Linked DNA regions of Coturnix japonica. The protein of the gene in region 1 interacts with the protein of each later gene in a biochemical or structural test. Links are inferred from orthologs where the notes say so. Each region holds a gene or a part of one and is shown in the gene's direction. Other genes may lie near its edges.

The links.
Region 2: the proteins of GLMN (region 1) and FKBP4 form a complex in vitro, tested with the Homo sapiens proteins (2 studies listed by BioGRID). The link is inferred for Coturnix japonica from reciprocal best matches to the Homo sapiens genes GLMN and FKBP4.

Annotation. Positions count from the first base shown.
Region 1 is NC_029523.1:12,315,763-12,319,579, forward strand, and holds part of GLMN (glomulin), read left to right. Parts: intron 1-749; coding exon 750-858; intron 859-1,914; coding exon 1,915-2,161; intron 2,162-2,631; coding exon 2,632-2,731; intron 2,732-3,817.
Region 2 is NC_029516.1:68,427,598-68,431,894, reverse strand, and holds the start of FKBP4 (peptidyl-prolyl cis-trans isomerase FKBP4), read left to right. Parts: upstream 1-1,276; 5' UTR 1,277-1,475; coding exon 1,476-1,559; intron 1,560-2,859; coding exon 2,860-3,004; intron 3,005-4,204; coding exon 4,205-4,297. UniProt on the Homo sapiens protein: Immunophilin protein with PPIase and co-chaperone activities. Component of steroid receptors heterocomplexes through interaction with heat-shock protein 90 (HSP90).

The DNA of each region.
Region 1 (3,817 bases):
TAGACACAACGATAACATTCTGAGAGGTAGTTAATTTTTTAATAAATATAGACAATTTTAGACAAAACGGAGCTAGACATTGTCCAATACAAAGTTCTTAGCGACCAGCTTTTGCAGTTAATGTAGCCACAGCAAAGCTACCTGTGCCTATGGCAGATCGCAGAATGATTGGAAGGTACACACAAGTTTCATCAAGTCCAACTCCTGGCTACACACAGGGCCACCCAGAATTCAAGTCTGACATCTGAGAGTGTTCTCCAGACACTTAGTGGACTCTGGCAGGATTTGGGTTGTGACATTGAGTATCTGATAATTCTGGTGAAGTCATGGGGAAATAAGATTTAATCTGTCGGAGATTCCCTTTCAGTTCTTTTTCATTTATCTACTTTGAAAACAATTTGCAAAGTAAGCCAAATTCACACTGAGGTTTTTCTTTTCTCTCTACTACTAAGGAATATCTAGCTAAAGTAGGTACTTATACAACATAGCAAATCTGATGGCACTAAACTTGATTTCTGTGTTTTCAACTTGTAGTGTACATGCTTATACATTCAGAACAGTACATTTACTATAGGAATGTATTTATTCATATTTATTAGTTTTAAGACAATTTTGGGTATTCTAATCTGTTTTCTTGTTGTTCAGGAGTTTCTGCATTGTGGTTTGTGATGTGTTTTTTCTCTCCTGTTTGTTTGGTTTATATCTGATAACTATGGGGTTAAAATGTACATATTGTCCATCTCTTGTAGCTGTGCAATCCAAAGGAACTGTTTTTGGGTTTACTTGAGCAGATTGAACAGACATCAGGAGAAAAGGTGTGCCAGACTATCATGTTACTGCTTCAACCTTTGCAGACAGGTAACAGTGACTCTCTCATGTGATTTCTGACAAAGACAGACATTATAAAATTAATTTAGCCTTTGGTGGAGTAATTTAAGAGAATTTGAAATAAGATGGGTAGCCTCAGAAGAAAAACCAACATTTTTCTTCATTCACAAAATTTGGTTATTTTTTACAGTTGTAAAACTCTCACATCCTTATTACAGAAATAGAATTACGTGGACTCATAGGTTTGGATAGTTTATTATTTAACTTTTAAAGCTTTAAAATTATAAAACTTCTGTTTGTAATTGAAACAAGTTGAAAAATATGAATTGAAAAACTGCATTATTCTGTTTTACATGCAAAAATTAAAAATACAGATTGAGATACTCGTTAAGTAGGTAAAAGTAGTAGTTTCTCTCTTGGTATGTGAAATTGAGTCACACCTTCTTCTTATCAAGTTTAAGTCCAGTTATAGCAGTCTCTGAGCTGCATTACTGAATCAAGTTAGAATTTAACAAGAGAAGCACTTTGCTAATGAGAAATGTGTATTTTGTTACATAACTGATCTGCAGCTAGTGTGCATTGAGATCAGTTTAAATGGAAAGTGGCTTGTGCTGCTTCCTCAGTGTGGGAAGACCCTGTGTTGTTTTTGCCACAGAGTATAGAACAGCTCTGAGCTGCTTAATGAAGAGTCAGATCTGAGCAGTAAGTCTTTTGTCAAACAAGAAATAGTATAGCAGGAAAGCCACAGTGAAGAGGTTTTTCAGGCCAGATAAATGGATGTTATTTTGTTTTAGTCTAGTTATAAAAAGACAGATTTTTCTGCCTTCGCGAGTTTGCAACAAAGAAAAGAGGAATGTGTGGAAATGCAAGACTGCTTTAATGCATCATTCTCAATTCTATGGTCATATTAAGTACTGTGAAATAGATTAGCTGATAAGTCTTGCTAGGCTTGTACATCTGAATTGAGATATTAGTCCTTCTGCTCCCCTGAAAGTGAAGACTTTCTTATACAGTCCTGTTCCTGTTCTTCACACATTCCTCCAGCAAACATTAACTTAATTTCTTAAAATGTTCTCTGTGTTTCAGTGCTTTTGAAACTTCAGAACAAGAAGGCCTACTCAGTGGGCTTATCTTTGGCCATGATTATGGATCAGCTTACTCCCTTGCCTGTACCATATACAAAGCAACAAATACAAGAAGATAAACTTGGTCTCTGTCAGTGCTGTAATGCAGTCGTGGACTTTGCTAAACCTTTTGTGAATGAAGTTGTTAAAAACATGGAAAAATCATCAGAATACAATGACACGGAGCTGAAAGAAGAATTACTGAAGTTGTGAGCATTTACTATTAGTTTAATATATTCCTGTAAGGAAACAAAATAAACAGTAGACACTTATTATGCATGCAGTAAATAAACAGTCTTATTAAAGTTTTTACAGTGCTGCCAACATATAAACTAATGCTGTATTTCAAAAAGAAAAAAACATCTTTTGCATATTTGTGAAGTGAAACAAGAATAGTAAAAATAATTTTTTAGTACAAGGAAATTAAGAAATATTAGTCTCTGTGATGTGGAGCTCATTTGGCAGTCCTGGTGCTTCAACTCAAAGGTGCAAAAGTGAGGATAATCTATTCTGGAGGTGAATTTTAAGAAGTGCTCCTATGGGAGACATTTTTGCTTCTGTTCTTGGAATATCTGGAACAGCAGCATCCAAAATGAGTATAGACCTTGTTGTTGGCCATTGCTGACATTGCTGTAGTTTCTGTGAGATTTTAAGTTTCACCTGTTGGGTTTTTTTTCAGCTGTATGAAAAGCCTGAAATACCCATTATTGACAGCTCAGCTTGAACAACTGGAAGGCATTGAAGAACATCCATTTCGTCATTTTGCAGCTGAAATTGTAGTAAGTGCATTTGGAATGAAGTGTTTGTCAAAGCAGTTGTGTGGTTCAGATCTGCAAATAGGAAGTTCATTTCATTTCTGTTACTACTTAGTGTGATGGCTGTCCAGGATAAGATAATGTGAGTATGTAAATGTTTGTAATAGGCTAAGGTTCCATCCTTGGAAATGATAAACCTTACAGATGCAGTTTTGCACCTTAATAAGCCAGTTTGGACTGTTCTCTGAATCAGCAGCTGCTACCTTGTTTTAGCTCCTTCTTTTTCCCTGGTTAAGTATGATTTCTTACAAACATCTGACTTACTGTCTTCACTGCTTAGTGAAGGTAAAATCTAAGTATTAATCCAAATTTTGCACTCAGAAATCTCTTACTTCTCTAAAGTGCAGTGCCAGCTGGCCACTCCATGTGACCAGTGCAGTTATTCTGGTTTTTGAACATTTTGCATAGCAACAATTAAGTTGCTTCAATGACTGTTGGTATACTTGTTTTAACATTGGCACTATGAAGGAATAGCATTAAATTTGAGCTTTGGAATTCATTCTCTTGTTAGCTGGCTAGAGGAGGGACATACAAACACCACACAGAAATGACGAAAGCTGAAGAAGGCCAGGGAAATTTTAGAATAGGTTGAGTGGGGACTGAGGCTGGCTGAAAAGGAAGAATTGGAGCCATCTGAGAGGTGGAAGGCGTGTGTGTGTGTGTGTGTTTGTATGCATGAATGTAGAGGAAGTCTGGAAGTTGCTACGTGATGCAACTCTGTTTCTTTTCCAACTTGTTTTTAAAAATGTAAGACTATATGTGCACAAAATTTTACATCCCAATGTTATGATTGTAAAGTCAAGCACACTATGTAACTAGCAAAACTTTTGGTTGTTTTCAACCATAATTAGTTTTTCTGTCATGATCACTTTGGGTTTTTTTTTCCACAGAATATCTCAGTCAGCATAGGATGGAACTGTTGCATGGATTAATTAGAGCTGTGCAATGAAAGAGAAGCTTGTCTGTGAGACCTTTGCTTCTTTTATTGCAGAACTTTTAAGATGCGCAGTGATGGAGGCAGAGATTACCAGAATATGATAGAAAGGTTAA
Region 2 (4,297 bases), on another chromosome or scaffold:
TGAATTAAGGGAAGTACACCTCAGAAACCTCAACTGCAAATACAGAGCCCTTTTCCAGTCCTGCGATGGAGGGGTTGGATCTTACTATGCATGCCTGTAGTGTAACTGCTCTGCTCAACTCATTTTTCTTTAAATTAGGTTTTGAAGCAAGAGATGAGTTTAATACCACAGTTTTACATTTGAAAAAGAAAATAAAAGAGGCTTGTCTCTAAGGCATGTGGGCCATAGCAATATCCTATAGTCTGCTGTGATGTGGTAAATGATGAGAAACAACTTTCTCTCTTCTAGGTTTAAAGGACAACGAAGGACTTGCTTTGCTATTTACTGCTGAGCAAGGGAAAGCAAGGATAATGGGGTAACTCTGTAGCTGAAAAAGGCTAATATAAAGGTTTTAACCTGACTGCAGGCAGCAGCTGACATTCTTAATGGCATACGCAGCAGTGTCATACAAACTGATAGCACAACATTAGACTGATGAATATCTGTACCCTCCTGTGGGCTGCCAAGGGTTGCACCACTGCTTTAAACAACATAAGTGCAATTCAAAAAAAGCTATGGCAGAGCTACGTTACTCTCTTCCCTTCTTTTATATTCAAACCTTTTTTTTAATCTCTGGCAAATCTTTAAAGGAAGGCTGCCCCAAAAGTAATGCCTTCAGTTTTTCTATGTTGACCACTAGGTCAGAGATGTTGGTGGTAGAGCAAGTGTTGAACCTTCCTGGGCAGGCTATTCCAGTGCTTGATCACTCCATACTTAGTAATCTGAGTTCAGAGTTTGTTTTTCTGCCTAACTAGAACCATCTTTGTATCCTGTAATGTCTGTCACTCTTTGTTTTTTCCAGCAAATACGATTTCTACACAGGTTCTAAGCCAGCATCTCCTGCCAGATATCTGAAAGATATAGACAAAGTCGTACCACCTACCAGCGCACAGTAAGACAAGCCACCAAAGCGATGCACTTAGGAACAAAACTAGCAGCAGGACACTATAGCAAGGCTTGGAAGAAAAAGGAAAAACCTGAAGCTCAGCAACCACAACTCCCTGCAAACCCTGGCACCCCCATCATGCAGGAAAAGCCGAGCACATCACCTGCCGATCGCTACCTCAGCTCAGCGCAGCCCAACCGCTTCTCCTCAACTTCTCCACCCTCCACATCCCTCAGTCAGCTCCATTCTCCCCGCCCCAAGGCACGACGCGCCCTTTAATCCTCCCCTACCACAGGCGGCCGCTCTGCGACAGCCCAGCCGCTTCTCTAGAAACTTCTCGGCTCCTCCCTCTCCCCCTCCCCTTCCTCCTTCTCACTGCTCTGGGGCTCGCGCTGCGGTGAAGGTAGAGAAGGAGGAGGAGGCGTGTGCGGCGTTTGTTCTCTCGTTGTTCGGAGCCGGAGCTGCGGCGCGGTACCAGCCCAACGCGGCGGCCGGTGCCGACTCCACCAGGCAGCCCTTCCCTAGAGCAGCGGTGGCCGCGACAGACGGGATGACGGCAGAAGAGATGAAAGCGGATGGGGCTCCCTTGGAGGGGACGGACATCACCCCTAAGCGGGATGAGGGCGTTCTCAAGGTACTGAGCGGCTGCCGCTGTCTACTACTCGGGTATTAGCCTGTTGTGAGGCCCTGAGGGGCGGCCTACGAGCGGGCGCTTCCTTCGGCCTCCTTCCCCGGGCACCGACACGCCGCCGGCTGGCCCCTTCCCCTCGGGTAGGGCTGTGAGCGGGCCGCTCACCGAGCGTTATGCTCGTACAGCCCTCATGGTTACTTACACATCAGCCGCAACGCTGCAGGCGGCTGTGTCGGCCTGCGCAGGCGCTGCCCGTGTACGGGGCTCCCCGTGGGAGCTGGCAATGAGAAGGAGCCCACGCTTTCCGTGAGGAAATCCCAAGGGAGAAGTGGGGGGGAAGACGAGGCGTCCCTCCCTGTGTCCCGCGTGGGTTTGGGAGAGCCAGGCTGAGCTCTCTGCTCTCTAGTTTGGGGGGGGTTGAGCAGATCAGTCCCGCCCCCAGCACGTGGTCGGACGCTGGAATTAAAGATGGTGCCTTGGCAAAAGTGTGTGTATGGCTTTTATCTATGTAGATGGTGCTGAGCAGTGCAGCGCTGTGTAGGCTGAACTAGTTATTTCTCACAGCCTGAAAATGGGGGCACTCTGTCTTAATATAAGCATGGCTTGGAGCCTGAGGTGGCACGTTTTACACTTGGGCCTGGTATAGATGTGCTTGGTGACAAGCACACCCCCAATTGCCTGCGGGTCTCTGGTACCTTGGCTACTCGAACATTGTAAAAGGCATCTTGTATCTCTCTACCATATGCAGTACCCATTCTTTGATGATGGAGAGGCAGGTGATAATAAAAATACAAAGGAGGAGGGGGATACTGGTAAAATAACTGAGGTTGTATGAACATTATAAAAATAAATAATGTGTGATTATGAGCTGATAAGGCAAAACATTGTGGAGGTCTTGAAGTCCAGCTCACATGACTCCAGAGTTTTCTTTTGTAGTAGTAGTGGTTGCAGGAATGCAGGTTACATCTGTTGAAAAGGTCTAACTGAACTGACATAAACCAATTTTGTACTACTATCATAGCACTGATTCCAGAAGATGTTGTTTTCATTGTTCACTAGCTTCGTATCAGAATAGTATCCAGAGGATTTGACCTGGTGGCAGCAGAGCTGCCTTTGTTTTCCCTGCATTTGAAATCTTATCTTTAGACAGGCTAGTTGTGACATTTCTAGATAACTGAAGTATACCTGCAAATCTGTTGTTGACTGGAGAGGGTAAGTCACACGCCTTAAGCGAATAGAATTGAAGTCCAATAGGCAAATGTAGTTTTGATCATTTTAGAGTTGCTTACTGTTTTTTTTTCAGGTTGTCAAGAGAGAAGGCACTGGTACAGAGTCTCCGATGATCGGTGATAAAGTGACTGTCCATTATACAGGATGGCTTCTTGATGGCACAAAATTTGACTCCAGTCTGGACAGGAGAGACAAGTTTTCATTTGACCTGGGGAAAGGTAATAACTTATGTTTGCTTTTGGTCAATCTTAGTAATATTGAGATGGAGTTTTCTTGCACACTTTTTCACTCACTAAGATCACTATTTTAACTTGTTTTCAGAGCTAATCGTTAATTCATATAAACAGATTAACTCAGAAGTGCTTTGAGATCTTTCTGAGTGGGCATTCTGTGTATCTGGCTCAGAATTCACAGGACCTCAGATACAATGCTCACCTCAGTGGGAGTTTACTGTGAGATACAGCAATAAAGGCAGTTAAATAGCTGCAGCATATATTTTGTTGATAGTTTTTTGTATTGCTTTTGTATCTTGTTGCCTCAAATTCAAGAAGAGTTAAGTGTAGCTGGGTACTGGGGCAAGGATGTGAAAGTACTGGGACAGAGTGCACAGGGGCAGCTATCAGCTGCAACTGAAGGAAAGAGGAAATATGCTCCCTCTATCCCTAAGCTCCCAGATCTAACTGTTGAAGTAAGTCTGTAAGTAAGTCAGATTTGAGTATGAAAATCCAAACATCCTAGTTCCTGCAAAATTTACTACTCAATCTGTGGTTATCACTAGGAGTTCTTTACCTACTGGCTTTTTATTTGGGAGATAAACTCTACGAAGTCCTGAAATTTGGGATGATAGAATTTTACCAAATGGTACAGGGCAACTTGATTGAACTGAAAGGAACCACAAGTAGGAGCACTTGAGTTGAGAGGTTTTTGTTACTTTGGCTTTAGGAGGGATACTTGTTCTACTTTCCTTCCCCTTTCTGTTATAAACCCACGCAACTTTCAGTTACCACTTACGTTGGCCTTTGCCAACTGATAAAGTGCAGAGAGACTGGGCTATTGTGGGCTGTTTTCAAAATACAAGCAGACAGTCTCTTACCCTAAGACCTTATTTTTTGAAGAGCATTGCTACTTGCTCACACTTAAGATTTTGTCAGGTGCTTTAGGCATGATCTGTGTCTAGATTACCTATGTTCTGTATGGGTGAAGAAATGAGGGGAGAATAATAATCACTGTAGAATGAAAAAAAAAAACCAGCTAAATTTGGGTGCCCAAGTAACTTTGTAAGTTGATTACAAATAAAACTGATGTATATAACCCAGAATGAACATAAGTCAATATTTCATCTTAGCCTGTATATACTGACAGAGCTGATTGTCTTTCATGTATACCTAGCATTCATGATAAAAACTTGCTTTGTGCAGGTGAGGTGATAAAAGCATGGGACATTGCTGTAGCAACTATGAAGGTTGGTGAAATCTGTCGGATTACATGTAAACCAGAATATGCCTACGGCT